Linked DNA regions of Canis lupus familiaris. The protein of the gene in region 6 interacts with the protein of the main gene of each other region in a pairwise test. Links are inferred from orthologs where the notes say so. Each region holds a gene or a part of one and is shown on either strand. Other genes may lie near its edges.

What was found.
Region 1: the proteins of CCDC33 (region 6) and STK16 interact in a two-hybrid assay, tested with the Homo sapiens proteins (2 studies listed by BioGRID and IntAct). The two-hybrid records come from large-scale screens. The link is inferred for Canis lupus familiaris from reciprocal best matches to the Homo sapiens genes CCDC33 and STK16.
Region 2: the proteins of CCDC33 (region 6) and MAGED1 interact in a two-hybrid assay, tested with the Homo sapiens proteins (2 studies listed by BioGRID and IntAct). The two-hybrid records come from large-scale screens. The link is inferred for Canis lupus familiaris from reciprocal best matches to the Homo sapiens genes CCDC33 and MAGED1.
Region 3: the proteins of CCDC33 (region 6) and NCK2 interact in a two-hybrid assay, tested with the Homo sapiens proteins (2 studies listed by BioGRID). The two-hybrid records come from large-scale screens. The link is inferred for Canis lupus familiaris from reciprocal best matches to the Homo sapiens genes CCDC33 and NCK2.
Region 4: the proteins of CCDC33 (region 6) and PRPF31 interact in binary tests that used the Homo sapiens proteins (3 or more experiments, as listed by UniProt). The two-hybrid records come from large-scale screens. The link is inferred for Canis lupus familiaris from reciprocal best matches to the Homo sapiens genes CCDC33 and PRPF31.
Region 5: the proteins of CCDC33 (region 6) and HNRNPF interact in a two-hybrid assay, tested with the Homo sapiens proteins (3 studies listed by BioGRID). The two-hybrid records come from large-scale screens. The link is inferred for Canis lupus familiaris from reciprocal best matches to the Homo sapiens genes CCDC33 and HNRNPF.
Region 7: the proteins of CCDC33 (region 6) and PIN1 interact in a two-hybrid assay, tested with the Homo sapiens proteins (2 studies listed by BioGRID). The two-hybrid records come from large-scale screens. The link is inferred for Canis lupus familiaris from reciprocal best matches to the Homo sapiens genes CCDC33 and PIN1.

Annotation. Positions count from the first base shown.
Region 1 is NC_049258.1:25,668,177-25,672,474, forward strand, and holds the start of STK16 (serine/threonine-protein kinase 16), read left to right. Parts: upstream 1-1,430; 5' UTR 1,431-1,525; intron 1,526-1,827; 5' UTR 1,828-1,931; coding exon 1,932-2,017; intron 2,018-2,606; exon of another isoform or gene 2,607-2,621; coding exon of another isoform or gene 2,622-2,630; intron 2,631-2,825; coding exon 2,826-3,045; intron 3,046-3,309; coding exon 3,310-3,443; intron 3,444-3,617; coding exon 3,618-3,738; intron 3,739-3,865; coding exon 3,866-3,961; intron 3,962-4,298. Other genes in the region: GLB1L (beta-galactosidase-1-like protein), read right to left, coding at 1-48. UniProt on the Homo sapiens protein: Membrane-associated protein kinase that phosphorylates on serine and threonine residues. In vitro substrates include DRG1, ENO1 and EIF4EBP1. Also autophosphorylates. May be involved in secretory vesicle trafficking or intracellular signaling.
Region 2 is NC_049260.1:44,806,370-44,810,006, forward strand, and holds part of MAGED1 (melanoma-associated antigen D1), read left to right. Parts: intron 1-825; exon of another isoform or gene 826-1,109; intron 1,110-1,641; coding exon 1,642-1,715; intron 1,716-2,460; coding exon 2,461-3,177; intron 3,178-3,637. UniProt on the Homo sapiens protein: Involved in the apoptotic response after nerve growth factor (NGF) binding in neuronal cells. Inhibits cell cycle progression, and facilitates NGFR-mediated apoptosis. May act as a regulator of the function of DLX family members.
Region 3 is NC_049231.1:38,784,140-38,788,234, forward strand, and holds the start of NCK2 (cytoplasmic protein NCK2), read right to left. Parts: upstream 2,890-4,095; 5' UTR 2,780-2,889; intron 2,659-2,779; exon of another isoform or gene 2,544-2,658; intron 1,565-2,543; exon of another isoform or gene 1,498-1,564; intron 1,076-1,497; exon of another isoform or gene 692-1,075; intron 583-691; 5' UTR 445-582; intron 1-444. UniProt on the Homo sapiens protein: Adapter protein which associates with tyrosine-phosphorylated growth factor receptors or their cellular substrates. Maintains low levels of EIF2S1 phosphorylation by promoting its dephosphorylation by PP1.
Region 4 is NC_049222.1:103,832,132-103,835,768, reverse strand, and holds part of PRPF31 (U4/U6 small nuclear ribonucleoprotein Prp31), read left to right. Parts: coding exon 1-61; intron 62-1,014; coding exon 1,015-1,142; intron 1,143-1,222; coding exon 1,223-1,295; intron 1,296-1,758; coding exon 1,759-1,887; intron 1,888-1,982; coding exon 1,983-2,081; intron 2,082-3,424; coding exon 3,425-3,550; 3' UTR 3,551-3,637. UniProt on the Homo sapiens protein: Involved in pre-mRNA splicing as component of the spliceosome. Required for the assembly of the U4/U5/U6 tri-snRNP complex, one of the building blocks of the spliceosome.
Region 5 is NC_049249.1:3,821,561-3,825,840, forward strand, and holds the end of HNRNPF (heterogeneous nuclear ribonucleoprotein F), read left to right. Parts: intron 1-1,847; 5' UTR 1,848-1,898; coding exon 1,899-3,143; 3' UTR 3,144-3,767; downstream 3,768-4,280.
Region 6 is NC_049251.1:37,848,563-37,852,199, forward strand, and holds part of CCDC33 (coiled-coil domain-containing protein 33), read left to right. Parts: intron 1-1,815; coding exon 1,816-1,932; intron 1,933-3,637.
Region 7 is NC_049241.1:51,560,287-51,564,362, forward strand, and holds the start of PIN1 (peptidyl-prolyl cis-trans isomerase NIMA-interacting 1), read right to left. Parts: upstream 2,886-4,076; 5' UTR 2,738-2,885; coding exon 2,680-2,737; intron 677-2,679; coding exon 464-676; intron 1-463. UniProt on the Homo sapiens protein: Peptidyl-prolyl cis/trans isomerase (PPIase) that binds to and isomerizes specific phosphorylated Ser/Thr-Pro (pSer/Thr-Pro) motifs.

The DNA.
Region 1 (4,298 bases), on a different chromosome or scaffold from region 6:
AAGTGGCAACAGCAGGACGGGAAGGCAGAGCCGCTTCCTGGGAGCCATGGCGCTAACAGGGCTCCTCTATTCAGAGAGGGCGGTCCGGCTGTCACGTGGTGGATTCCTGGGAGGGAACCTCAGCGAGCAAGGGGGCGGAGACCACCTCAAGTCACCAGGCAATTAGCCTGGACTTGTCCACCCGCGCTACTCTACTAGTTTGTAAGATCCTCTACATCTTGAATCCGCTTCATCAGCATCACCTGGGAGCTTGTTAGAAATGCAGAGTCTCAGGTCCTACCTCAGACCTATTAGAATCAGAATTTGGATTTTAACAAGATTCCCAGGCGATCCGAAAGGCATTCAAGATTGAGAAGCACTGTGGTACTAAACTGAGCTCCCTGAGGGTGAAGAGTACCTTGTCCATCTTGCATCCTCAGCTTCTAGCACGGGACTCGGTACATAGCAGGTTAAATCTAGATGAATGAATGTCGGAACCAGGGGGCTAAAACAGGTTCGGAATCAATCTTCCCAGTGGTGTGAAAGTAGGAACCAAGTTATAAATGGGATTTTTTTTTTTTTCTCCTAGTGGCCCTGCTACAGCAAAAGAGACCACCTCAGCCATTCTGTCTTCTTTGGATGTCCACCGCTCTTCAATTTATCCCTGCCCTGCCTCAGCGAGAGCTGTCAAGAACAACTACCTGGGGCCAAGGCTTGGGAATTTATGAATTTCCATGACTCCTGCCTTCACAATCCCAAGCCTGGGATGTAAGGACCAGGATAAGAAAAATAGAATCATAATAAAAATAACAGCAACTTCTATTTATTGACACCAAGGCTGTGTCAGATAGTGTGCTAAGCACTTTACATCTCACTTCATCTTCAAAAAGCTCCGTGCAGTTGGTAATTATCACTCCCATTTTACCCATGAGGGAATTGAGAGGCAGAAATTTTAAATAGTCTGCTCAAGGTCACGCAGCTAGTTTAGCAGAGCTGGGAGCTGCAGCCTGGCCTCCCCGTACGGGCACCTAACCTTAGGTACTGTTAGAGCTTGTTTACAACTGGGGAAACCGAGGCTCTGAGAGGTTAAGTCGTCCAAGGTCACGCAGCTAGTAAGCTCTTAACCACTGAAACTAGGGTAGTGGGATGCAGGCCTGAGCCCCGAAGGGTGCACCGATCGGCGCTGTGGGGGTCCAGGCCGCCGGCCCCCGCCCGGCCCCCGCCCCTCGGGGCTGGACTGCAGCTTCCTACCTCCGGCATTGGGAGACGGGGGGCCTGGGGGGCCTCGGGCCGAGCCCGGCTTTGCTCCCCTTGGGCGCGGGTGCCTGCGTCCTGCCCACTACTGAAGGCCTGGTGTGGAACCCTCACCGGGTCCCGGGACCCGTGCTCCCCCGCGCCTTAGCCCGCCCCCGGCCTCTCAGCTCCGCGCCCCCACATCCTCCGGATGCCCTGCGGTTGCTAGGATACCGCGGGCCGTTACGCCGGCGCGGCCTGATGACGTAGACGCTCCTTCCGGTCCGCGGCGCTCGTCTCCGGCCGGAGCCAGGTCAGTGGGGAGTCGGGGCCGGCCCTCCCGGGGCTCTGCGCGCCGAGGCCGGGGCGGGCCCCGCCGGGTGGGCCCGGGCCTCGCCCCCACGCTCCGCGGCTGCCGAGGCGGCCCGACGGCGAGGACGCGGCCTGGGCGTCGCGGCGTGGCCCGAGGCTCCAGGGCACCCGACCTCGGCCGTGCCCGAGCCGGCGTCGCCAAGGCTCGTTTCCTCTGCGTTCCGAGGCCCGGGCGCCAGCTCTGCACGTCGGCACTTCGGGGGTCGTGCCTGGCCCACGACCCTGCCGTCCTTTGCCTTCCAGCATGATCCGCGGGGCCCCCAGCGCGTCGCCTGGAAGAGCCCCCTCAGCCCGCACGCGGCCGTCGGCAGCCCCGGACCGCCCCTGAGGAGGATGACTGAGGCGCTATGGGCCACGCGCTGTGTGTCTGCTCCCGGGGAACCGTCCTCATTGACAACAAGCGCTACCTCTTCATCCAGAAACTGGGGGAGGGGTGAGTGTTGAAATCGCCTAGCCAGCCCCCAGGGTTCTGGTGAGTGAAGGACAGCAGTCTGCACGTGATAGGGCCTCAGGAGGTTCATCCTTGTAAAGCATCCTTTAGCTCCCCTGACAGAGCCTAGCAACCCGAATGCCAAGAAAGTGGATTCTGGAGCCAGGCCTCCTGGCTCCACCTGGTGTGACCTTAAGCCGTGGTTTCATCATCTGCTTAATGGAGATAATCATCTTTTTTTTTTTTTTTTTAAGATTTTATTTATTAGAGACACACACACACGCACATGCACAGGCAGAGGGAGAAGCAGGCCCCATGCAGGGAGCCCGATGCGGGACTCGATCCTGGGTCTCCAGGGTCAGGCCCTGGGCTGAAGGCTGCGCTAAACCGCTGGGCCACCCGGGCTGCCCTGGAGATAATTATCTTTTGTCGCTGATGGAGTTGTGAGGATTAAATGAGATAGTGCATAGAAATCATCTCACCAAAAAGAGAAAAAATAATAATAATAATCTCACCCAGGGCCCGGTTCACAGCACTTGACAGATGTTGACTGTTACTTACTCATGTAACATTTCCGGAGCATTTGTCACGTGCAGAGCTGTGCATTATGACCAAGGTACCTCAAAGATTGCTGTGTTCCTACCCTTGAGCTCAAAGTGTAAAATCTTCAGACTTCTCCTGAAGCCACGTCTTGGGAGGGTTTCTGCTGACTGGGAAAGACACCCCCTCCCCTCCCCACCCAGGGAGTTCCTCTGGGTCCAAGCAGTGTGGGAGATGACCGTGGTCCTTCACTGACCCCTTTGGCCCACAGTGGGTTCAGCTATGTGGACCTAGTGGAGGGGTTACATGATGGACACTTCTACGCCCTGAAGCGGATCCTGTGTCACGAGCAGCAGGATCGGGAGGAAGCCCAACGAGAAGCAGACATGCATCGCCTCTTCCATCACCCCAACATCCTCCGCCTTGTGGCTTATTGTCTGAGGGAGCGGGGCACTAAACATGAGGCCTGGCTGCTGCTACCCTTCTTCAAGGTCAGAAAGTCTCCTGGCAATGGAGGGGCTTGCAACAGAGTCATCTACCGAGGGCTGTGTGAGTAGCCAAGCACGTTAGGAAGCAGAGACCATGTCCTGTGTTGGACCGCTTCAGATTTGGGGTTTAGGGGAACCCAAGTGGGACTGTGAGGTGTGTAGTGTGTGTGGTGAAAGAGCTGCTAGGCTGTGACACAGGGAAGGGATCAGGCTGAGGGAGCAGAGACCCAGAAAACCTGTCCAACCGTGGGGAAACTTGTGTTGCAGAGGGGTACGCTGTGGAACGAGATAGAAAGGCTGAAGGACAAAGGCAACTTCTTGACTGAAGATCAAATCCTTCAGCTGCTGCTGGGTATCTGCAGAGGCCTTGAGGCCATTCATGCCAGAGGTTATGCCCACAGGTCAGTGGGAGGGCCCAGTGTGCTTATGGGGCAGAAAGAAAGAGCCTCACCAAAAGGATTGAGTGGTCTCTGCTCTCCTCCCAAGGAACAGTCCCCATGATTCTTTTGCCCCCAGGGATTCTAGTCTCCCTATCCAGGGATGTTCATGGGCCATTTATTTCCACTTTCCTGCAGGGACCTGAAGCCCACCAATATCTTGCTTGGAGATGAGGGGCAGCCAGTTTTAATGGACTTGGGTTCCATGAATCAAGCTTGCATCCATGTGGAAGGCTCCCGCCAGGCTCTGGCCCTGCAGGTAAAAGAGTGTCCAGGTTCCTTTGCCCTCCTGTTCCCCATCCTCAGCCTTTCCTGTTGCATGCCCCAGTTTGGTCACATGACTATGACCTGTGCCTCTCTTTTGAGCTATGGGGCCACTCTTCCAGGACTGGGCAGCCCAGCGATGCACCATCTCCTACCGCGCCCCAGAGCTCTTCTCCGTGCAGAGCCACTGTGTCATTGATGAGCGGACTGATGTCTGGGTGAGGAGCATGTGGGGGGGCACATGGATGGGGAGGAGTACCGCTCTGTACCTGCTGTGCAGCAGAGGGGCAGGTCTTTGGTTTCGATTGCATGGGGCCCCAGGAACCGTGTATGTCCCCATCCCCCTCGACTTCCTTCCTGGGAACCGTCACTGACACTGTACTCAATTGCTCAGGAAGTGGTATCATTCCTCCCTTTGAACAGAATGAGTACAGCTAAGTGTCAGGACTGAAGGCAGTGGCAAGCAGGGGGTGCAGAAGCCTCCAGCTAGCTGGTGCTTTCTCTGGACCCTGGTGGTGTCATGGGGCTGAGGTCAGCCTATTCTTATTAGCTTAT
Region 2 (3,637 bases), on a different chromosome or scaffold from region 6:
TGCTTGTTTGGGACAGGTGTTGACAGTGCAGGGGAGGTGTATGTGTGGGAACTGTCGCTCAAACTGGAGAGGAGAGGGTGCCTCAGTTCCCAGGCCAGCACTAGTGGAACATAGGTTTTGGAGTCAAGAAGACTCCAAGGCCCACATTTTGCATTTGCTCTTTACTGGCTCTGTGGCCTTGTCTGGTTCATGCAGTGTGTCTGTGCTTTGGCTTCCTGACCTGTAAAATGGGGATGCTGACATCCACCTCCCAGGGCTGCTGTGAGAGACAAGTCCCAGCACAGATTGCGCTGTGGTGGTCAAGCTGTTCCCTTCCCTCCCTTCCTCACCTGCGCAAAAAATATGCGCATGGCTGGAGCTGCACAAAGGGCACGAAAGAAGCTAATGTTTATGACCCTGGGATCTGTTGAGAGAGATCATACAGATTCATGTGGCAGGTGCACACTTTTTCTACCTCTTACAACGTATTCTCTCTGGCCATTCCTTCTCCTGGGTCCCAAAGTCGGAGAGCTTAGCGGGAGCCTAGCACTTGTTGCAGTTAGAGACCCCACACGGACACCTCCTTATTAATGACCTAAGTGTTGCTAAGCGGGGGGTGGAGATTCTTGCCGAACGAAAGGACAGGACTGGAGGGGCCGCTAGAGGGGAGGGATAGAACTGAGACGCATTGCGGAAAAGGTAGGGGGCCAGTGTGTGGGCAAGGGGTGGGACCTAAAGGCACAGCGCATCTGTTTGGGGGAGGGGATGTTGTGGAGGGGGGTGGGGCCGTGGTGTACTGTCGACCTGGTTGGTAGTGGGGTGGTGTGTTGGCAAAGGGGCGGGATTGCCTCCCACTGCACATGCGCACCATGGCGTTAAGGACGAAGCTTTTGTTGGGAAAGCGGGCGGGACTTTTATTTGGTCGGTCAGTTCTTGCGCATGCGCACAACTATCTGAGGCGGTGGGTGGTATATTAGGCGGAGAGGCGGGGTCGTCCTAGCTGCCGCGCTGGCATTTTCTCCTGGACAAGGAGAGGGTGCGGCTGCGGAGAGCCGAACACTGCAATCCCGATCCTCTGAGTCGTGAAGAAGGGAGGCAACGAGGGGGTTGGGGTTGGGGCCTGAGGCAAGGTGAGAATTAGCCCCCAGACAGGGCATCTGCCCCCTGGTGCGGGCCACCCATTTTTCATTTCAATCCCTTTACCCCGGATTCTGATTCCCCTTCCACTCCCCTAATCCCCATTCACACCCTTCACCCGATCCTCCCTTACTCAGAACCCCTGTTCATCCTCCGAACCCCTCCCATCGTTAAAAATCTCCACAGATTTCTCGAGCTTAATCTGTACTGTCATACGATTCCTCCTGATTGGAAACCTCCATTCAATTTACCATATGCGCGTCCCAACCCATTCCCCCTAGATTCAGAACTGTTGTTGGCTTTCCGAATCCCGATTTGAAGCTTCTCCCGGGTCAGTAGCTTCTCAGGATTCAGAGCCTCCATCCTGACATCCATTCACTTTTCCCACTCTGATCCAACCGGTTCCCCTCACATTCAGCGCCTCGTTCGCCCCCACAGTCAAATCCCAGACACCCCCCCCCCCCATTCAGTCCTTCGCATTTGCCCTTTGGAGTATAACGCCCAGCTCCTCCTACCCCCACCCAGGCTCTGCTCTTGCCAGAGGGACTGGAGCCATGGCTCAGAAAATGGACTGTGGTGCGGGCCTCCTCGGCTTCCAGGTGAGATATTCACTCCCCACCCCACTATTTACCTAGCCGATAGTTCCCTGGGGCCCCTTTGGCCGCCCAAAACCCTCGATCTGATTTTGCCCTCTTCATGCCTAGACTCCATCGCTTTTCAAATTCCCATGGTTTATCGGGGGGGAGGGGCGTCCCCTTTCAGCCATCAATCCCTGCTTAGAGAAAGGGGAGACCCTGTTAATAGTGAGGGCAGTCTATCCAGAGAATGCGGGTTGGGTAAGGAACCATTTTTTTCCTCAGTCCTGACGCTTGTAGAGAGAGCAGTCTGCCACCCCCTCCCCCAACCTCCGGCCGCCACCCTCTCTTCTGCATTCCCCACCGCTGAGACCCCCCCCCCCTTATTCTCCTCAACTCCTCGAGGCGGCACCCTTGCTCTGGCTCCCCTCGCGTCCGCCCTTAGCTTCTGCCGCACACCGCATTGCTCTGCTCTAACCTCCTCCATCAACCCCCACCGCTCCCTTCATTCTACTTCTTCCCCACTATTCATTCCGCCCCACCCCTCACTTAGTCCCTGCCCCACTCCAGCCCTACCACACGTTTTGTTACCACTCTGCCTCCCATCGCCCCTTGCTGGTGGTCTAGATCTGTGCCTCAGCCTTTTTGCACCATCCGCCTGCCTGTACCTTCCCAGCACTGCTCCCCCTACCCTCCTGCTTCTACTTCGGAGGCCCAGAAATTTCATTCCCACCCCCCATCCCCCCCCCCCCCCCCGCTGTATTTGCAGGCTGAGGCCTCCGTAGAAGACAGCACCTTGCTTATGCAGACCCTGATGGAGGCCATCCAGATCTCAGAGGCTCCACCTACCAACCAGGCCACAGCAGCTGGGCTGAATGCTAGTGCCCAGAGTTCACAGCCCCCAACATCCAGTGAGATGGCTGATATTCAGGTTTTGGCAGCTGCCACTAGGCCCAAAACAGCCTTTAAGGCTCAGAATGCCACCACAAAAGGCCCAAATGGTGCCTATGATTTCTCTCAGGCTCTTAATGCCAAGGAGATGCCCAATGTACCACCTAAGGCAGCCTTTAAGTCCCAGAATGCCACCCTAAAGGGCCCAAATGCTGCCTATGATTTTTCCCAGGCAGCAACCACCAGTGAATTAACTGCTAACAAGTCCGAGATGGCCTTTAAGGCCCAGAATGCCACTACTAAGGTGGGCCCAAATGCCACCTACAATTTCTCTCAGTCTCTCAGTGCCACTGAGATGGTTAATGCTCAACCTAAGACAGCCTTTAAGGCTTGGAATGACACCACTAAGGCCCCAACAGTTGATACCCAGACCCAGAATATTAACCAAGCCAAGATGGCCACTTCCCAGACTGAGGTAGAGACCAACCCAGGTATCCCTGAATCTGATGGTGCAGCTGCACAGACATCAGCAGATGGTTCCCCTGCTCAGAATCTGGAGTCCAGGACTATAATTCGGGGCAAGAGGACCCGCAAGGTGAGATCCCTGCTAGCTTCATTTTGCTTTGGGCTCTCTCCTTTCTTCTCTGAGTTTCATTTGTTCTCCACAAAACAAAGCATACATATGTAATGGCCTGTGTTGAGTTAGGTTGTAGGGGATAATAAGGTGAATGTCATAATTTCTGCCCTCTGAATATCCAGACTAATGGGGAGATGAGACATGGACAGGTAATATGTACACTATGTAATTCAGTTTACATTTTCATAATAGCCACCATGTGTTAGGTCTTGAGCTAGGCATATTCACACAGGTTACCTCATTAAATCTTCAAGGTATTACTAGCTAAGGATAATAGTCCCAGTTTTACAGAGAAGGAAACTCAGTCCCAGAGAGGTGAGTGACTTGAGTGATTTGTCCAGGGTGGTACAAGCAGAGCCAGTGTTGGACATAGGAAGAGGAGAAGCCTCAGGCCCCACCCTTGGGTTGCTCCTGGCCT
Region 3 (4,095 bases), on a different chromosome or scaffold from region 6:
ATTAAGGGAGGATTTTCCCATGTTGGTCACTGCTTCACTAGCCTGATTAACACCCATTTCTCGGGAAATCCCTGTTCCAAACACCGAAAAACCTCCATCAACAGCCCCACCTCCCCAGCCAGTCAAGCCCATCTCTTCTCTGCGCGTCCGCTGGCGACCATTATTTTCATAAAACGCGGCACATGCCTGAATCCTGTTCACTCACCCACCCACCCAGGAACGCCTGGTAGGTGCGTTAAGAGAGTGTTCAGAAGCAAAGTTTAGATCTGTTTTGATTAAGTTATAGTAGCCCTGGTTAATTTCATTTTCAGTCGTTCTAAGACTTGCAGAGCAGGGCTGCTAACGATATACCAGCAGTGGTATGAAACACACCCGAATTACTCTCATTCCTACCCAAATCCCTTCCCAGAAGCCAGGGCCTGAACCAGGGAGGGCCTCTCCTACCTGCAGGTCTGGGGCTAGGCCGTGCCCGCTGGCCTCCGTGGTTCAGTTTCTGTTTGGTTCAACGGAAGGAGGGGGCCCAGCGCTGGGGCCTGCTCATCCCCTTATACAGACACAAAGTTGGCAGATTCAGCCTTAAACCTGTTGGCAAAATAAACGAAAACAAATAAAGGGGAAACTGCCAACCGCAATTGTCTGAAGTGACAGAGGCCTACTGTCCCCGTCCCTGCCCCGTCCCTGAAGCCCTTACAAAGCTCGTGAAGAGTCAGGTGCCCGGTGTTCACCAGCCGCCGCGCCCCGCATCCCCCGCAGACCTTCCAAGGCGATCGTTACTGTCCACGCACGAAGGCGTTTCTGCAAAGTAGACGCCTCCACGCAACGCCACACTCGGTGCGCTCACGGGGGAGGTGCCTTCAGTGCCTTAAAACCCAACCACACGCCGGTTTCTTCCAGAACCACTTGGTGGTTAGATCGCCCCGAACACACCGGGAGGCCAAGCGTCGTGAGAAACTTTCTTCCAGGTGCGGGAGGTCCTGCCCATGCGGGACGCGGCGCGGAGCCTGGCACCGTCCCCGGGCCCCGCGGCCCCGCGCCCAGGCGAGGGCCTCCCCCACGCGGCGTGACAGCAGCTTTGTGCGGGGTCAGGAGAGTTGCCATAAGCACAGCAAGTTCTCCGGGCCTCCCGCGGCCTCCCGCGGCCCCGCGAGCCGCGGCGCTTCCTCCCGGGGCCGCTCGTCCCCGCGCCCCCGCGCCCCCGGCCCCCGCCCCCGCGCGCCCCGGGTCCCCGGTCCCGGCAGCGCCGCCCTGCCCCCGCGCCCCCGCGCCCCCGCCCGGCCCGGCCCGGCCCGGCCCGCACAGGGGGGCCCGGAAGGCGGGCGCGGAGGTGCGCAGCCGGGAGCGGGGGGCAGGCCGCGGCGGGGCCCAGGGCGGTGCGGGGCGCCCAGGGCACGGCCCCCGCCCCCGCCCCGCCCCCGCCCCCGGGCGCGCGCCGCCCCCCGCGCGGCCCAACTTGGCGGCCCCCGCCCCGCGCCCGCCCGCCCGCCGGCACCGCCTTACCTCCTGCGCCGCCCGCCGAGCGGAGGGCAGCGGCGCGGGTCCCGGGGCGGCGGCCGCACCGCGCCCGCCCAGGCGCCGCTCTTTGTCTGCGCCGCTCCCTCCTCCCGCCGCGCGGCGGACGCTGCCGGCCCGGGCGGACCCCGCCGCCGCCGCCGCCGCCGCGAGCCTCCCGCCGCTCCCGCCTCCCGCCGCCCGCCGCCCGCTCGGCCGCGCGGCTCCGGCCTGACGATCCCGGCGGCGGCGGCGGCGACCCTCCCCCGGCGCTGCGCCCGCCCCTCCGCGCGCTTCCTCCTCCTCCTCCTCGCGCCGCTCCTCCCCGGCCGCGCGCGACCCCGCCCAGGGCCGGCCCGGGCGAGGGGGGCGGGGGGCGGGGGCCCGGCTCCCACCTGGGGCGGCGCGGGCGGGCGGCGGGCGGCGCGGGGACCCGGGGCTCGGCCGGGGCGCGCGGGGGGCGCGGGGGGCGCGGGGCGCGGGGAGGGCGGGGGTCCCGGCTGCCCGCTGCCCGCTGCCCGCTGCCGGCTGCCCGCGCGGGGACTGGGGCAGCGCTGGCGGCGAGCGGACGGCAGGGGAGAGAAAGGCAGCAACTTCCAGCCCCCAGTGACTGCCGCGCGGCCTTTCCATCCTCTTTTTGTTTGATTTTCTTATCGCGACGCTCTAGTTGTTTGGCGGCCGGCCCCCTCCCGGAAGCATTCCCACGGCACCCTCGGCAAGGCAGGCCTGGGGTCCATCAGAAAAGTGACTTACATAAAAATGTCACTTCCTCTCTGTAATTGCCTCTGGGCATTTTTATTTATTTGCCTTGTATCTATTTACTTTCCCAAACAGACACTTTTGTACTCCATCATTCCCGTCGGAAGCACTTCTTGAGAGCAGAGAGGACACGCGGCCCCGCGCCGCCCCGCCTGCGGCCCAGCCCCCCGCGCCCACCCGGCAGAACCTGGCAGGCGCTGCCAGCGGCTGGGCCCCTCCCCGCACCCCCCCCCCCCCCAGGCCTTGTCACTACTAGTGGGACTGGTCCGGTCACCTGGCCACACGCAGGGACTTACCTGTAAACAAATTCGGAAGATTAAAACCCTGGAGGAAGGGGAAACACAAGTTGTCCTCTAACAGGCACATGCATCCAGCTGCCTGTGCTCCAGTCTCCTTCCCACACGGCTTCCCAAAAGGAAACCCGACTATTCAAGTGATTCTGATTTCCTGGCGGAATAGCCTGGATCCATGTTAATGAGATTCTTTCTTAGGCTCCTGGCTTCTCATTACTATTAAGGCAATAATAACTTACCCAAGGTGACAAGGCTGAACCATTGATCCTCTGCCTTGTTCACAAAAGGAAGTATCCAGGTTGGGTAACCAGAACCAGTATACCTTTGAAGTCACAGTACAGCCTTTGACTATCTGCTTTTTCAACTGCGGAACCTTGCACAGGTGTTTCTTAACCGATCTAAAATTTAACAAATGGAGAGATCGTGTTTACCTAGCTCCCATGTCAGTCCCTGGCACCCTTCCTGCCTGTAGGGCACACTCTGTAGGTCACTAGCTGGGAGTAGGTACAGTGTACTGAGCAGGGACGGATCCAAGATCAGGGAATCTGGATAGCCTCCTTCTCTTTGCCCTTGGGGAAAGAGCTGCCTCAGTTCATCCTTTTGTCTTACTAATAAGGAAGGCAGAATTATAATAAATGGTCTGACCCAATTTTAAATTAGTTTACCCAAAATCCATATAATAACATTGACCCAGTTTTTAACTTGTCTGCTTTGTAAACCATCACTGAATCACCGTTCTTGAATTCCTCTTCCTTCTTCCTTCCTTTACAAAGGTAGAGTCCCCAAGGACATTCTCTATCTAAAATCCAATGTCGCTTTCTTAATCTTTATCCTATGCAGTCTTCAGAAGCACGTGGCATTTCTGCTATTACCTGAAATTCAGTTATTTTCATTTATCTAACACAGCTACCCTTCTGAACTTCCTACATCATTCTCTTGGAGAGCATATTGACCTCTAACAGTAATATTCCTGATGCAGAATTTGGCCCCTTGTTTTTATAATGATTTGTGCCTTTTTTGTTTTTTTTTAAGAGAGTTGATCATTTTTTTGTATGCCTCCAGTCTGGATGTTCAGTGATTAACTCTCAGATCTGTAGCCTTAGAGAATTCCCCAGATTGTCTGCAGTCTCTCTGGGCAGCTCATCATCTCTTCAATATCACCAGGTTCAGAATGAAATTTATCCTCTTCCCAAAGTAGCTCCTCCTCCCACGGTCTCAGGCTTGGCCAAGAATCCACCAGACATCTCAGCTCCTTGGAGAAACTTCACTGCAATCTCATTTCTTCCTTCCTTCCCTCTCTCCAAGATCTCCCCAAAGGCAGTGAGGAGAGAGTGCAAGATGACCTTGGGATCCCTCTCAGTCTAAATCCTCATGATTCTGAGTCCTGGTGCTGTTGAAACAGCTCTTTGTATCTTCTTTTCTCTTTCCAGTGACACCATCCAAATTTTTACATTGTTACTGATGACACTTATGAAACTTCTTTTATATGTGTGTGTGTGTGTATCTGTGTGTGTATAAAATAATTATATATAATATATATAATAGTATCATGTGT
Region 4 (3,637 bases), on a different chromosome or scaffold from region 6:
GGCTGCCAAGTGCACACTGGCAGCCCGTGTGGACAGCTTCCACGAGAGCACAGAAGGGAAGGTGAGGCACAGCAGGCATCTGTGTGGGTCTGTCTCCTCTACCAGACTTGTCATTGTTCAGGTCATCACTGAGTTTACCTCTATCTCTCTTGGCAGACTTGCTCCATGAAAGTGGGTATATCTTGTCTTGTGCAGTCTGGCACAGTGTCCAGGCTTCAGTCTCTTTCTCTCACTGCCCCCCACTTTTCCTCTTGACCACTGGTTGAGGTTCCAGTGGGGACAGCAGTGAGCACTCCGACCAAAGCCATGCCCCTGTGGCATTCATGTTCTGGCTGGGGGCGGGGTGAGGACACGGGCCATCTGTGGTGTGTCCAGGGATGCCACATAAATGCTAGGGTGGGATCAAAGGGTGCTGGGCTGGTGAGGGAGGTTGAGTTTAACCCGGACGTTGGGGAGGGCTTTGCTGCAAAGGTGAAGGTCTAATCTGCACCCAAGTGAAGTTGGTGCAAGTGAAGCAAGTTGGTGAAGTGAAGCAAGTCAAGTGAGTGCCTGGGGGAAGAGTCCTAGGAAGGAGAAGCAGCCAGTGCAATGGCCCTGAGCCTGGCCCACAGGAAGCCAGGGAGAGGAGGCTGTGGGATGGGACAGGTCACGCAGAGCCTGTGTGCCCCAGAGAGACCTTGGCTGTAGCAGAGATGCTGAGGGGTGCGATTTGGGGTCTTAACTGAAGGAAAAGCCCAGAGGGAGAGAAGCCAGAGGTGAGGCTCCCAAGTGACCTCCCTTTACCAACTTGTGCAGGCCGGAGCTGGAGGCTGGGGAAGAGGTGCAGGTGTGCGGTTTGGCCCTGTTGCACTCGGGGGCTGCCCTCCTTCTCCCCCATCAAGGACAGAATTATATGAGGGGTGCTGGGAGAAGTCTGAGTCTCCCAAGAAACACAGGCCCCCCAGGCCTGGGAACAGGTGCCACACACAGGTAGAGGGATGGGCAAGGCTCAATGGGACCCCCTGCCCTCCCCAGGTGGGATATGAGCTGAAGGATGAAATCGAGCGCAAGTTTGACAAATGGCAGGAGCCGCCGCCCGTGAAGCAGGTGAAGCCCCTGCCTGCACCCCTGGACGGGCAGCGCAAGAAGCGAGGTGGCCGCAGGTAGGCCCTGAGGGCCAGTGGGGGTGAAGAGGAGGGGAAGGGGCTTGTGACCCCAGCTGACCCCTGGCGCCCCTCCCCAGGTACCGCAAGATGAAGGAGCGGCTAGGGCTGACCGAGATCCGGAAGCAGGCCAACCGCATGAGCTTCGGAGAGGTCAAAGCCTTAGTCTGGATGTCCCCACCACATTTCTTCTCGGCTGAGGCAGCACCTCACCTCCAGCCTCCCCCCACATCCATGTACCCTGAAGGGACCTATGCAGCATTCAGTGTTGGCCCTGTCCCCCGACCCCCACCCTTTTGTACACACCTCCCTGTCGGGTTGGATCTGCCCAGGGAGGGTCCTTCCTCAGGCTTCACCTCTGCCAGACTCATTACCCAAGCATCATCCTCATGGTCCTGCAAGAACCAGCTCAAACACCCTCTAGTCAGCAAGCCCAGTTTTGGTTGTTGACACTGCATACATGAACACTCACAGCTTCCCTCAACTGTCAGCTCAGGGAGCCGTAATAGGACTGGACTCCTCACTGGGCCCCAGCAGGCACCTGAATCGGGTCAGTGCCTGGGGCATCCGGCTGATGAAAGATGGCTAACTCTTGGTTACCTTCCCCTCCCACCAGATCGAGGAAGACGCCTACCAAGAGGACCTGGGCTTCAGCCTGGGCCATCTGGGCAAATCAGGCAGCGGGCGGGTACGGCAGACACAGGTGAACGAGGCCACCAAAGCCAGGATCTCTAAGACACTGCAGGTACAGGCGGGGCCTGAGTGGGCCTGGGAGTCTGGGAGCTCCAGCAGGAGAGCCCAAGCCAAGCCCAAACATCCTGTCCCCTCCCCTCCACACAGCGGACCCTGCAGAAGCAGAGTGTCGTGTATGGCGGGAAGTCCACCATCCGTGACCGCTCCTCGGGGACTGCTTCCAGTGTGGCTTTCACCCCTTTGCAGGTACTGTGCACCTGAGTCAGGAGGCCCAGTTCTGGGCAGGCTCTACTCCCAGCTTTCTGAGTGGACCTGGGCAAGCCCCTTCCTCTCGCAGGGCTGTTGTGGACAGCCTTGTGTATCAGTGAAGCCCCTGAAAGGTACAGCTCAGTTCCTGGTGCTCAGGCTAGTGGGAGCAGAAGGGAAAAGGTCTGCCTGCAAGTGCAGGCTGGCTTTAGGATCGGGCTGGGACTAGGGGTGACTACTGATTCCCCATGACCTCAAGTGGGCTCAGCTCCTCCCTGAGGTGCTAAGTGGCTGGGACAACCTCAGGGCTCCACGGAAGAAAACTCAAAGGTAGCTGGCTGGGAAGCAGAGGTCCCAGCCCAGCCACTCATGCACAGGACAGAGCCTCTGCATCTGTCCATTTCTCAGCCTACCCACAGATAGCGCCAGCACGCCCCATAGCATCGAGTAGAATAACTGAGTTCATTGGCAACATCAGCAAGGGTGTACTGAGCACCTAAGTTTCAGGTGCTGTTGCAGGCACTGGGGATAGAGCCACAAGCACAAGACAGCAAGCCTTGCCCTCAGGGAGCTTGTGGGGTGGCAGGGGTCAGATAAGATATGGAGCCTGGTGGAAAGTGGAAAGTGCAGGGAAGAAAGGGGAGAGGGAGTGAGGCATCGGGTTGGACCCGCCCAGGGAGGCCTCAGCAAGAAGGTCAGAATTACCTGTGGAAGATACTGGGAATGGTGCCAGCCAGTGTGGAGCCCCCACAGCTGGACGCCGTGTCACCAGTAGGCTTGGTGTAATTTGCACGAGGGCCAGAGGTGAGCCACTTAGCTCTGTGACTCAGTTTCCTTATTCAGGAACCAAACCCGGTCAGCTGTTCTGAAACATTGATTTTTTTTTTTTAAGATTTTTATTTATTTATTTATTCATGAGAGACATACAGAGAGAGAGAGACAGAGACACAGGCAGAGGGAGAAGCAGGCTCCATGCAGGAGGCCTGATGTGGGACCCCATCCCGGGTCTCCAGGATCATCAGGCCCTGGGCTGAAGGCGGCGCTAAACTGCTGAGCCACCTGGGCTGCCCAACATTGATGCTTTTAAAATTGCTTAGAGAACTTGATAAAAATTCAGATGCCCAGGTCCTCCCCACTCTTCCCTCTTCCCAGAGCCACAGTTAGAATCTCCCCAGGTTTGGGGTGGGGGCAATTTGGTAATTGGAAAACTGTTCTATCACCTGGAGCCCGGAACCATTGAAAAGGGCCTCCCCGACATGTCACAATTCTCTTACTGGGTAAGGGGGCCTTGTCAGGGGCCAGCCCATCTCCCCACCCCATCATTACCTCATTCACCTGCCCAGGGCCTAGAGATTGTGAACCCACAAGCAGCTGAGAAGAAGGTGGCTGAAGCCAACCAGAAGTATTTCTCCAGCATGGCCGAGTTCCTCAAGGTCAAGGGCGAGAAAAGCGGCATCATGTCCACCTGAGGGGCTGTACCCTGGGTGGCTGCCCCTGAAGCTACACAGGCCCTGCCCTTCTGAAGGGATCAGGATCAGGATAGGGCTGGGAGGTTC
Region 5 (4,280 bases), on a different chromosome or scaffold from region 6:
ATTCTTTCGTTTGTGGTGTATCAGAGCTATGGAGTCAAGTTTTGTATGCCAGGCTTCCTGAGGCTGGGTACTTGAGTGTCCTGGGCCCAGACCTAGTTGACCGTGGAGGGAGATCACTTAAGGCTGCCTAGAAAAGAATTCACCCAAGCTCAGTGATTCCCAGCAGTTGAATGTGGAGGAAGGACTCAAAGGAAACAGCTAGGAGAACCAATCAAAATTAATAGGAAAACCAGAAGGTTGCATCTTCTTTAAGAGGGAGAAAGGATTTCCAGGGGGAGTGGTTAAATTCTGCTGTGGGAACAAGTAAAATGGTATATAATGGCATTAGTTCCGAATGGACATTCTTAATTACTAAGAAGGTGGTCTTCAGTGAAAAGACTGAAGAGAAGTTTCTCTTGGCACCTGGATAGCTTGGTTATTTAAGTGTCCAACTCTTGATCTCAGCTCAGGTCTTGATCATGCAGGGTTGTGAGCTCAAGCCCCACGTTAGGCTTCACGCTAGGTGTGGAGCCTTAAAAGTTTTTTCTAGGGTGAGTGGAGTTGGGACCAGAGCAGGATTGTGATCCTGCTAATGATATCAGCTAACAAGAGAAGCAACTGCTTGTTTATAAATTCCTAGACTTTGTGGCATGTGGCAGTTCCTTCACGTAGTCGCTGTTCTTTGAATCAGCTGCAGATGGGGGGAATGAGAAAAGGTGAGGTTGCCACAGACAGCTCAGGGCTTTGGGCAAGTGTGTGTGTGTGTGTGTGTGTGTGTGTGTGTGTGTGTGTGGTAGAACTGTAGGCAGTATTGAGGGCCCACTTTAAGGTTGGTGATCCTGATTCTACAGTAGTCATTCTCAGCTGGGAGTAGGTTTTACCCTCAGGGAACATTTGGAAATATCTGGAAATCTGTGGGGTTGTCACACCTGGGGGGAGGGTATTGCTACTGGCAGCTTGTAGGCAGAGGCAAGGGATGTTGCCTTCCAGCCTATAGTGCACAGGCCTATTCCCTACAACAAAGAACTGTCTGGTCCACAATGTGAACCATTTGGCCTGGCTATGTGACACTGAGCTACCTGGTACAGCCAGGAAATAGATAACTTAAACTTCCTGAGCTGTTTTACTTCACACGTACAAAAGAGGAGGAAGAGCATATGAAATCTGTTATAGGGGGATGGGGCCAAAGTCATTACAAAATCATCCTTTTGCACGTTGGCAGTTTTAAAAAAAATGATTAAGTGCTGCATAGTGACTTCATCAAATACTGAAATTACTGTAATTTATTAAAATTATGAGCCAAGGGACACCTGGGTGGCTCAGTCAGTTAAACATCTGCCTTGAGCTCAGGTTGTGATCCCAGAGCCCTGGGATTGATAACCAATATCAGTCTCCTGGTCAGCGTGGAGCCTGCTGCTCCATCTGCCATTCCCCTGCTTATATTATTACAAATTTGCTCTGTCTTTTCTCTAGTAACAAGAAAATACCCTTTTACTTGAGTGTCATAATCTCACTTTCCTCCAGTTCTGAGAAGTTCTCTATTTCTAAATATTGGCTTATTTCATTCTTTTGTCTTCCCTTTAGAACTTAAAATAACTGACCATTAGAATTGATAGGCTGTGGCTTACTGACAGAGGCTTCTAGATCACTATTGTATTTTTTTTTTTTTTTTTTAGATTCCTAATTCTTTTTCAGTCTGTAATATGTACATTTTAGGGGAGACCTGGGATTGAATCTGAGTTCAAATGTATTGGGTGTATTTCTTAACATTTTATTTTTTCATCTGTAAAATCAGAAAAATAAGATTTACTGCATATTCTTGTACATAATAAATGAAAAATTATGTAAAGTTTTTGCTTTCTTTTCAGCCACAAAAAACTGCACCCAAGCTTGTTTGACGTCTGTCCTCTCAAGTGTCCATGATGCTGGGCCCCGAGGGAGGTGAAGGCTTTGTGGTCAAGCTCCGTGGCCTGCCCTGGTCCTGCTCTGTTGAGGATGTGCAGAATTTCCTTTCTGACTGCACAATTCATGATGGGGCTGCAGGCGTTCATTTCATCTACACTAGAGAAGGCAGGCAGAGTGGTGAGGCTTTTGTTGAACTTGAATCAGAAGATGATGTAAAAATGGCCCTTAAAAAAGACAGGGAAAGCATGGGACACCGGTACATTGAGGTGTTCAAGTCCCACAGAACCGAGATGGATTGGGTGTTGAAGCACAGTGGTCCAAACAGTGCCGACACCGCCAATGATGGCTTCGTGCGGCTTCGAGGACTCCCATTTGGATGCACCAAGGAAGAAATCGTTCAGTTCTTCTCAGGGTTGGAAATTGTGCCAAACGGGATCACACTGCCTGTGGACCCCGAGGGCAAGATTACAGGGGAAGCCTTTGTGCAGTTTGCCTCCCAGGAGTTAGCTGAGAAGGCCCTCGGGAAGCACAAGGAGAGAATAGGGCACAGATATATTGAAGTGTTTAAGAGCAGTCAGGAAGAAGTTAGGTCATACTCAGATCCTCCTCTGAAGTTCATGTCTGTACAGCGGCCGGGGCCCTATGACCGCCCTGGCACAGCCAGGAGGTATATTGGCATTGTCAAGCAAGCAGGCCTGGAGAGGATGAGGTCTGGTGCTTATAGTGCAGGCTATGGGGGCTATGAGGAGTACAGTGGCCTCAGCGATGGCTACGGCTTCACCACTGATCTGTTCGGGAGAGACCTCAGCTACTGTCTCTCGGGCATGTATGACCACAGATATGGAGATGGCGAGTTCACCGTCCAGAGCACCACTGGACACTGTGTCCACATGAGAGGGCTGCCGTACAAAGCTACCGAGAACGACATTTACAACTTCTTCTCTCCACTCAACCCTGTGAGAGTCCATATTGAGATTGGCCCTGATGGAAGAGTGACGGGTGAAGCTGATGTTGAGTTTGCCACTCACGAAGAAGCTGTGGCAGCTATGTCCAAAGACCGGGCCAACATGCAACACAGATACATAGAACTTTTCCTGAATTCCACAACTGGGGCCAGCAATGGGGCATATAGCAGCCAGATGATGCAAGGCATGGGAGTGTCAGCCCAGTCGACTTACAGTGGCCTCGAGAGCCAGTCTGTGAGTGGCTGTTACGGGGCTGGCTATGGAGGCCAGAACAGCATGGGTGGATATGACTAGTTTTGTAGGAGCATTTGAGTTATTGCAATCAAATTTTCACAGGCAGCCAACAAGCAGTGAAAAGCAATTATTACTCTAGAGGAAGCTGTGGGACCCATTTTGCACCATGAGTTTGTGAAATCTGGATTAAAAAATTACCTCTTCAGTGTTTTCTCATGCAAACTTTCTTCTAGCATGTGATATTGAGTAAACTAAAACTATTTTCAGCTTTTCTCAATTAACATTTTGGGTAGTGTACTTCAGAGTGATGTTATCTGAGTTAAAGTAGTTTTAAGTACATTAAATGGATCTTTTACACCACATCACCGTGAACACATTGGGGAGACGTGCTTTTTTGGAAAACTCAAGGTGCTAGATCCCTGATTCAAAGAGGAACATTTCTCCTGTTTGTTCATTCTAGTTTATTTTCATTTAAAATCTTTTTAGGTTAAGTTTAAGCTTTTAAAAAATAAGTTAGTTTTGAAAATTGAGACACATTACTAATACTGTAGGAATTGGTGAGGCCTTGACTTAAAACTTTCTTTGTACTGTGATTTCCTTTTGGGTGTATTTTGCTAAGTGAAACTTGTTAAATTTTTTTGTTAACTAAATTTTTTTCTTAAAATAAAGATTTTTTCACAATGACTGGCACCGACTATATACTCACCAAAAAGCAAAATGGGTGGTTGAAGAGAATTTGTTTTAATACTGCTGTATTTCAGTGTGAATTTCAAAACTAATTTAGCACATGGAATCTAAGATTTCCCTTATTCCTATACCAAGGCTAAATTAAAAGTTTGATTTTTAAAAATGTTAAACATGAGCGGTAGAAATGGTGACTGGAAACACGGGAGTATGAAAATAGAAGCAGCACGCAGGCCTAGCCTCCTTTGAGACTGGACTGCTCAGCTGTAATGTCCCGCTCTTCTCTTATACTGGAGTCACATTCATTTCTCATAGCTAAAGACCCTTAATTTTGGGTGCCACATACTTTGGCAGTCTTTTAATCACAACCACATTTTGTTTCAGGGTGGTTTTTTTTTTTTTTTATATGAAGTTACTGATTTGAACATTTTTTTTCCATGCTAGCTCTAATAATCCTGGGTTAGAAATCACAGGTTATTACTGAATACACATAAATCTTGGGACAGACCTGTT
Region 6 (3,637 bases):
TTTTTTATTTATTTATGATAGGCACACAGTGAGAGAGAGAGAGGCAGAGACATAGGCAGAGGGAGAAGCAGGCTCCATGCACCGGGAGCCCGACGTGGGATTTGATCCCGGGTCTCCAGGATCAGGCCCTGGGCCAAAGGCAGGCACTAAACCACTGCGCCACCCAGGGATCCCTCCTTTTTTTTATTTTATTTTTTTGATGTGAATGATTTCCATGAGAATTGGGAATTCTCCAAATTCATCTCTGTAAAATAGCCCAATAGCATGGAATATCTTCTACATTAAATGAATACACCAGTTAAACATATTTTTCTAGGGGCGCCTAGGTGGCTCATTTGGTTAAGTATCTGCCTTAGGCTCAGGTCATGATCCCAGGGTCCTAGGATCGAGCCCCATGTTGGGCTCCCTTCTCAGCAGGGCATCTGCTTCTCCCTCCATCCCTGCTCTCACTCATGTACTCTCTCTCTCTCTCTAATAAATAAATAAAATCTTTTTTTAAAAAAAGATATTTTCTGATTTCATATGTTAAAAGTGGGAATATATCTAAAAATCAAAGAAATACAGTATTTACAGAGTACCTAGTATGTCCCAGGTCCTGAGCTAGACACCATCTCTAATCCTCAAGGTGAAGTACATTTTGCATACATAGGGCTGGAGACCCAGAGAGAGGAATCCTCTCAACATGGGTGACAGAGCAAATGAGTAGCAGAGTGGAGGGTGAGCCCGGGTCACAGTCTCCCAGGTCAGTTCTTTCTGTGCTGTCTCCACACACTGCCTTGGCAGGAGGAAGGCCCTGGAAATTTGGGACATGTGGGAGGGAAAGTGTTCCCTGGAGTGCACCCCTCTAGTAGGCAGCTGGGCATGAGCCTGAGTGAGGAGCTGCAGGTGCCTTAGTCCGCGGCCTGAGCTCCCCAGGGCAGCTCCCCCACCGACTCCCTCTCCCCAGTGCTGATTGGTGGAAGGGAGAACTCACTCTTTCAGTGCTCAAGTACTTAGTAAGTACCTACTGTGTGCTAGGCACTGGACCAGAGATGAACAGAAGCACTACTTTCCCTTCAACGTGCACTCCAGACCCCTACTGTGGTTTGGAGTAAAGAACAATGTGGTGTAGGATTGCCTGGGCTCCTATCGGGGGTCTGCCTCTTGCTAAGTATATATCCGTAGGAAGCTGCTTAACCCCCTAGGTCTGTGCTTCTCGTTGGCAAACTAGAGAGACATTGAGCATGCATTTGGTCAGTCAAATGCAACAATGGGCGTCAAGCCCCTAGCAAAGTACCTGACACATAGTGGGTGCTCACTTTGGGTTAGTTCTGTTCCTTTCTTCCCTCCCCACTTCCCATCAGGCCCTGCACCAGTCTTCTTTCCAAGCACCTCCTCAACCATGGCCTCGGGGTCTTTACCTTCCATAAGCCCCTTCCCTAAGCCTGGATGAGGTACCTGGGACAGGCAGGGACAGGAAGGCCCAGAGAGATCAGTGAGTGACTCACCTGGAAGACTCAGCACTTTAGCTGTGATTCTGCGATCATCACCCAGGCTCTCTGGCCACTTCAAAACACAGGCTTTGTTATCACACCTTCACGAAGAGAGCAGTCAGGCAGTGGTCCTTGTGAGGGTGATGAAATATTCAAATAGAAAAGGAAAGATTTATTATATTGATCTTGGAAGGGCTCGCGGGGACCATGAGCTTTAATTATCAGCTTGGAGCCCCGGTGGAGCAATGCCAAGTGATTGTCTGCAGAGGGCTGGATTTATGGCAGGGCCTGCCCCTTAGTCACTCTCCTTCTTGTGTGTCTTCTTCCCTCACCCTGTCCCCAGGCCGCCCAGTCCGGAAAAGCTGAGGAAGCCACTGCCAAGACCCACCTGTATGCGACCGTCGTTCGGAAGGGCAGCTTCTTCCCCCGCTACATCGGCAGCAACCACACAGCTCTGGAGGTTCCAAGACTGGGGTCCCGGGGGGGGGGGGAGAAGGGGAGGGGGGAAGGGGCAAGCTTTGAGCAGCCTCCAAGCCCTCCCCTTCGCCACCCCTGATTGGCCTGACTTTGTGAGGCAGAGAGGGGTATCTGGGAAAGAAACCAAGAAGGGAAAAAGCAATAGGGCTTTACAAGAATAGCCAAAATAGGGACGCCCGGGTGGCTCAGCGGTTGAGCACCTGCCTTCGGCCCAGGGTGTGACCCTGGAGTCCCAGGATCGAGTCCCAGGATCGAGTCCCAGGATCGAGTCCCGCATCGGGCTCCCTGCATGGAGCCTGCTTCTCCCTCTCCTGTGTCTCTGTGTCTCTCATGAATAAGTAAATAAGATCTTTATAAAAGGAATAACCAAAATATTTTGTGAAGAACAAGCCCTGGGATGACAGGGATAGGGATAGAGATGAAAATGAAGCCTAACCTTTCCCAGCATTTCCGGACACAGTCCTGCCCTAACGTTGCCATCTCTTGTTCTGCTTCACACACACTGTGAAGGGAGATGGAGAAGGGAGGATGGAGAAGGGGGAGCTCCCAAAGGCTTCTGTCTGCCTGAATCTCATGTGGGGGGGGAAGCCTCCACTTTGGCCCATATTCTCTTCCTGTTTTCTCTCTTGATCTAGGGCTTACCACCCTATAGCCACCTTGTATGCTAGTGTAGGTCAGCCCTGCAGGTTCCCTCTGTTCCAGTCTCCCTCCCTTTTACATTATGTCCTTTCCTGAGACCTGACAGCAACCCTCTCTCTCTCTCTCTCTCTCTCTCTCTCTCTCTCACACACACACACACACACACACACACACACACACACACACACACGAAACAAGGAAGAGTGGCCACAGCTCGACCTTGCTGTTCCCAGGCCACACCCCACAGTGAAAAGGCCATTTGCTTAAGACCCAGCAGAACCCTGGCCTGCAGGAGTCTCCACGGAGGATCCACCCCACTCCCACCCCAGCCCCCAGAATTACTGGTATAGAGTCTCTAACGCTCCACCTACCCCTTGGCCCCAGCACAGCTGTCCCCCCTTCTGGTTCTGATGGCAGACTGGAGAGCACAGTGGGAAGAGAAATTGCTTCTGTTACTTATTGGCTGTCATGAGCAAGTGGGCTTGGGCAGCTATCTCATTCACACCTGACCATTCAGCGCTGAACAGGTGTAAATTAGCCACGACCACCCACCTCTCAGAGACCTACTCTCAGCCCCTACACCTGTTGGAGTCCCTGTGAGCTCTAGGGCCTGACAGCCCTGCAGTGGACTCCCTCAGCCCAGACTCCTGGCCCCACTCAAAGTTTGAAACACCCACATCAGATCCAGTCCTTTGAATCTGGGTCAGGGATTCAGTCTCCAGGGACCCCAGTGAACCCTGAAAGGCCCTAAGCACTTAAAAAAAAAAAAGATTTTATTTATTCATAAAAGACACACAGAGAGAGGCAGAGACACAGGCAGAGGGAGAAGCAGGCTCCCTGTGGGGAAGCCCGATGTGGGATTCGATTCCAGGACCCCGGGATCACGCCCTGAGCCGAAGGAAGACGCTCAACCACTGAGCCACCCAGGTGCCTTTTCCTAAGCCCTCTTTTAAGGCCTGATCAGTTCACACGTGTGGGGAGTTGTGAGCTACCAGCTAAGATGGTCCTGGCAGAGGGGCCTAGAAGGGAGTGCGCAGGGAGGAGGAGAG
Region 7 (4,076 bases), on a different chromosome or scaffold from region 6:
ATACCAGGCAGCTCCATACCAGGGTTCTGCAACTTATGGCCCTAGTGAGCTAAATGCTGCTGATTTCATAGTTTTCTTGGCACCTACACACCAGGTATGGGCAGGTATGTGACAACACCCATTTTACAGAGGGGAAAACTGAGTCTCAAGATGACACAAGCTCCCCCTGGAGCTTACAGGGCATAGCCACCATCTGAACCCAGGGCTGCCAGCCCCCAAGGCTGGGTCCTCCTCTCGTAACCTGGCTCACCCTCAAATGCCAAATAGAAAGAAAAAGGAGAGGCAGCTGTGCAGTCCAGGCTCACGTCACGTACAGGCAGTTCGGTGGCAGCCAATGCTGACAGCTGAGTTAGCTGGGGTGCAGGGCCTGGTGTGATTTCTACGAGGCTGGCTCCAGCTCCCAATGAGGGGACAACCTCTCCCCACATTCCCCCCACTCCAACCTGCTTCCAACTCTGCTCACCATTAATCAGCTCCAGGGCCTCCTCCTTGGTCCTGGTGATCTTCTCCTGTCGCCAGGATGAGGGCCGCCGGGACTGGCTGTGCTTGACAAGCAGGTGCGAGCAGCGGACCCTGGTGGGCTCCCCTTGTCCATTTTTGCTGCCACTGCTGCTGTTGCCACTCGGCCGCTCCCACTGGCTGGCATTAGTAATGTGATTGAAGTAGTATACCCGGCCTGGAGGAGGGGGGATACAGGAATTCAGCTGGGACCTGCTCAAAGGACACCACCCGGAGGCCAAGATGACGGACCGGCCAATGGGATTCCTTCATTCAACAAATCCCCTGAGTCCACCTCGAGCTACAGGCCCCGAGGGAGCCAGCATTCTAGATGGGGATGGGCAGGCCCCAGACAAGCAAATAAGACAATGTCATAACTTCAGTTATTAGTGACTTCAAGGAGGAAAACCACCCAGAGTGACAGGAGAGACGAAGCCGGTGTGGGGACAGGCAGCCAGGCTGCCTGTTCAAGTCTGGCTGTCACTCACTGTGTGAGCTAACCTCTCTGGGCCTTGATTTTGTCACCTGTAAAATGCAGATAACAACAGTCCCTGCCTGTAGGGTTGTGCTAAGGACTGAGTGAGCTCACAGCGGTAACACACTTAGACTAGTGCCCAGTACACATTAGGAGCGTGACAGCTATCATCTCCCTGTAGACGACAGAAGTGAGGCCTCACCTTCCACACCTTTGGAATGTTTCCTGAGTGTACACTTGGCCCCAGGCACACATGGCTGGAGGCAGGAATTAAACCCAGGTTGCCAAACATGAAAGCTCTGTTCTTAACCCGCACCCAGTGTACAGCGCTGCACAACTATGGACCAGCAGTACAGGGGGGTCAAACGTTACCCAGGGCCCAAGGAGCAGGAAGGAGGGAAGGCCACAAGAGAGAAGATTGAGGTAGAACCCAGGAGAGCCCAGGCATCATTCCAGGGGCTGAGATTTTTGCACGACTGGCACCCAGCACCGTGAAGAACTGAAGGTCACCCCTGAGGAAGACCATTAGGGTGGAGCCGAGCAGAAATGGCCAGAGAGGGGGCCCAGAACAGGGCAGAGCATCAGGATTCATGCTGTCAGCTGTGGCCACGGAGCAGGGCTGGAGCGGGCTCAGTGAGAGCTGAGCCAGTGACCGACCCTAAAACCTTGCAATGGCCTCTCTCTCCATGAACCTTGGTTTTCTCATCTGAAAAGTGGGGGTGAAGCGAGAGATTAAGGACATAACTTCACGGGGCTAATGTGGAGAACAGTGATGATCCGTGCAAAGTGCTCACCAGAGGGCCTGGCCTTCAATGAGCAGATATCACTGTGACTGTGATTTTTATGGGCTGGGGAGGCAGTGCGGTGAGATGCTGGGCCTGCTCCTCACTGGTCTGCAGTGACAAGGGCAGGCGGGCTCTGCTGTCAGACTGACCGGACTCTAATCCAGCCCCCACCCCCTGAAATGAATGACCTTGGGGGAGCTCCTTAAGTTTTCTGACTTCTGCTTCCTCACCTGCAAAACGGGGTGATAACTATCCACCTCCCAGAGTTGTGGTCATTCAGAGAGAGAGAGGGAGAACACACTCCAAACACACTTGGCACAGGGCTGGGCGGTAAGATGAGCGTGCGGTTACGGGTATTATTACTGTGGATAAGCCTCAGATCGGGCTCCCGGCACAGGGTCCATCCACCGGGCGGCGACGACAGACTCGGGTTAGGCGGGGATGGCCGGCGGGTTAGCAGGGGCAGGTTGTGGGCCCGAGGCCCGGCAACGCTCTGAGGCCACGCCCTGAGCGTGGGGTTGGGGTGTCCTTCCCCGGGGTGCCCCCCGGGCCCAGCAGGGTGCAGACACGGTCCCCGGGGACGTCGGGTGCAATAGGCCAAAAGGTGTCAGCCGGATCGGCAGGGCCAGGGCCATCACCTGGGGGAGTGCTGCGGGATCCCCGGCCCCCCGCCCCCGCCCCCCCCACCCCCGGCAGCGCGCTGGGTCTCTCCGGCCCCGCCCCTTGCCTCAGTTTCCTCCGGCATCCCCGCTCCTGAGGTTCGCAGCCCCCACGGGGCGGGCCCGGGCCGTTACCCTGGGAAGACGCGGAGGAGCCAAGACCCCACGGGAATCGGGCGGCGGCGCCGCGCCCCAGGGGCGAGCTCGAGCCCTGCTTCCGCGGGCCCGCGCGGCCCCGCCCCAGCCCCGACCCCCGCGGCACCTGAGCTGCGGCTCATGCGCTTCTCCCAGCCGGGCGGCAGCTTCTCCTCGTCCGCCATCTTCCCTCCTGCCGCAGCGCCCGCTCCGCCTCCGCCGCACCGCCTATGCCGCCCGCACCCGCCCACCGCCGCCGCCGATTGGCTCGGCCCGCCTCGCCCCGGGGCCCGGCGACGATGCTCATTGGGCGCCCGAGCAGTCCGGAGAGGCCTTCGGGCTTTCTATTGGGTAGCGGCGAGACTGGGCGGACCCTCCGTGCGTTCTACCGGGTCCCGCCCCCGTACGGCCTCCCCCGGATCCCGCCCCCTTCCTCCCTCGGCCGCTGACTGGTAGGGAAGGGGCTGGAGCCCGTCCTTCTCCACAGCCTCCGGCGAGCTTCACAGAAGTCCGGGCACCTCCTTTGCGTCCTTCGCCGCAGGCCCCATCCGATTGGCTACTGCGGCAGTAGTTCCCGCCTTCCTCAGCCGTTCCCGGAGGCCCGCGCCCCCTTATGCGGAAGTGTCCGGGTGGTTTCGAGGTGACGGCAGCCCACGAGGTACTTGAAAGAGGCGGTGCTGCCTTAGCTGTTGCCGTAGCAACGCAGTTGCCTTGGTGATGAGCAGCGAAGAAGCCTAAATTTGGCTCCTCCATCCTCCTTCTCCCCACCTGTTTCCTCCAGATGTCCAAAGCTGTCCCCCCACTTTTTTTTTTTCTTTTGCGAGACTAACCCTTTCCCTGTGCCACTGACCAAACATCTTCTACTTCCTTTGGAACCTACTTAACTTATTCTCTCGGTCTGGCTCCTGCCTCTGTCCTGGGTGACTGGTGGGTGTTGGCATGGCCACTTAGCTGGCGACACAGGAGGATGCGTCTGTAGGAGGATGATGAGCTCAGTTTGAATCGTCTTAAAATTGAGTCTGCGGCACCTGTGGGACTCTGGGGAGGTGCCTGGGGACAGGCTGGAGATAGATACGAGAGGCAAAGACACCAACAAGGAAGAGTTCAATGATAGTTCATCTAGAACTAGACCCCTATGTGACCATTGAAAAAGAATGAGGCGGGGATCCCTGGGTGGCTCAGTGGCGTAGCACCTGCCTTCAGCTCAGGGCGTGATCCTGGAGTCCCGGAATCGAGTACCACATCGGGCTCCATGCATGGAGCCTGCTTCTCCCTCTTCCTGTCTCTGCCTCTCTCTGTGTGTGTCTCTCGTGAATAAATAAAATCTTAAAAAAAAAAAAATGAGGCACAGTCATATAAAACATGGGAAAACATGTCTACAAGAAATAGGATATAGTAGGTTAAGAGCATTCAAGAGCCAGATCGCTTGTGTTCAAAGCCTGGCTATGACTTTGAAGAAACTAATCTCTGTGTTTCAGCTTTTCAGCTTCTCCATCTGCAAATGAGAATAAGAAATATATATAT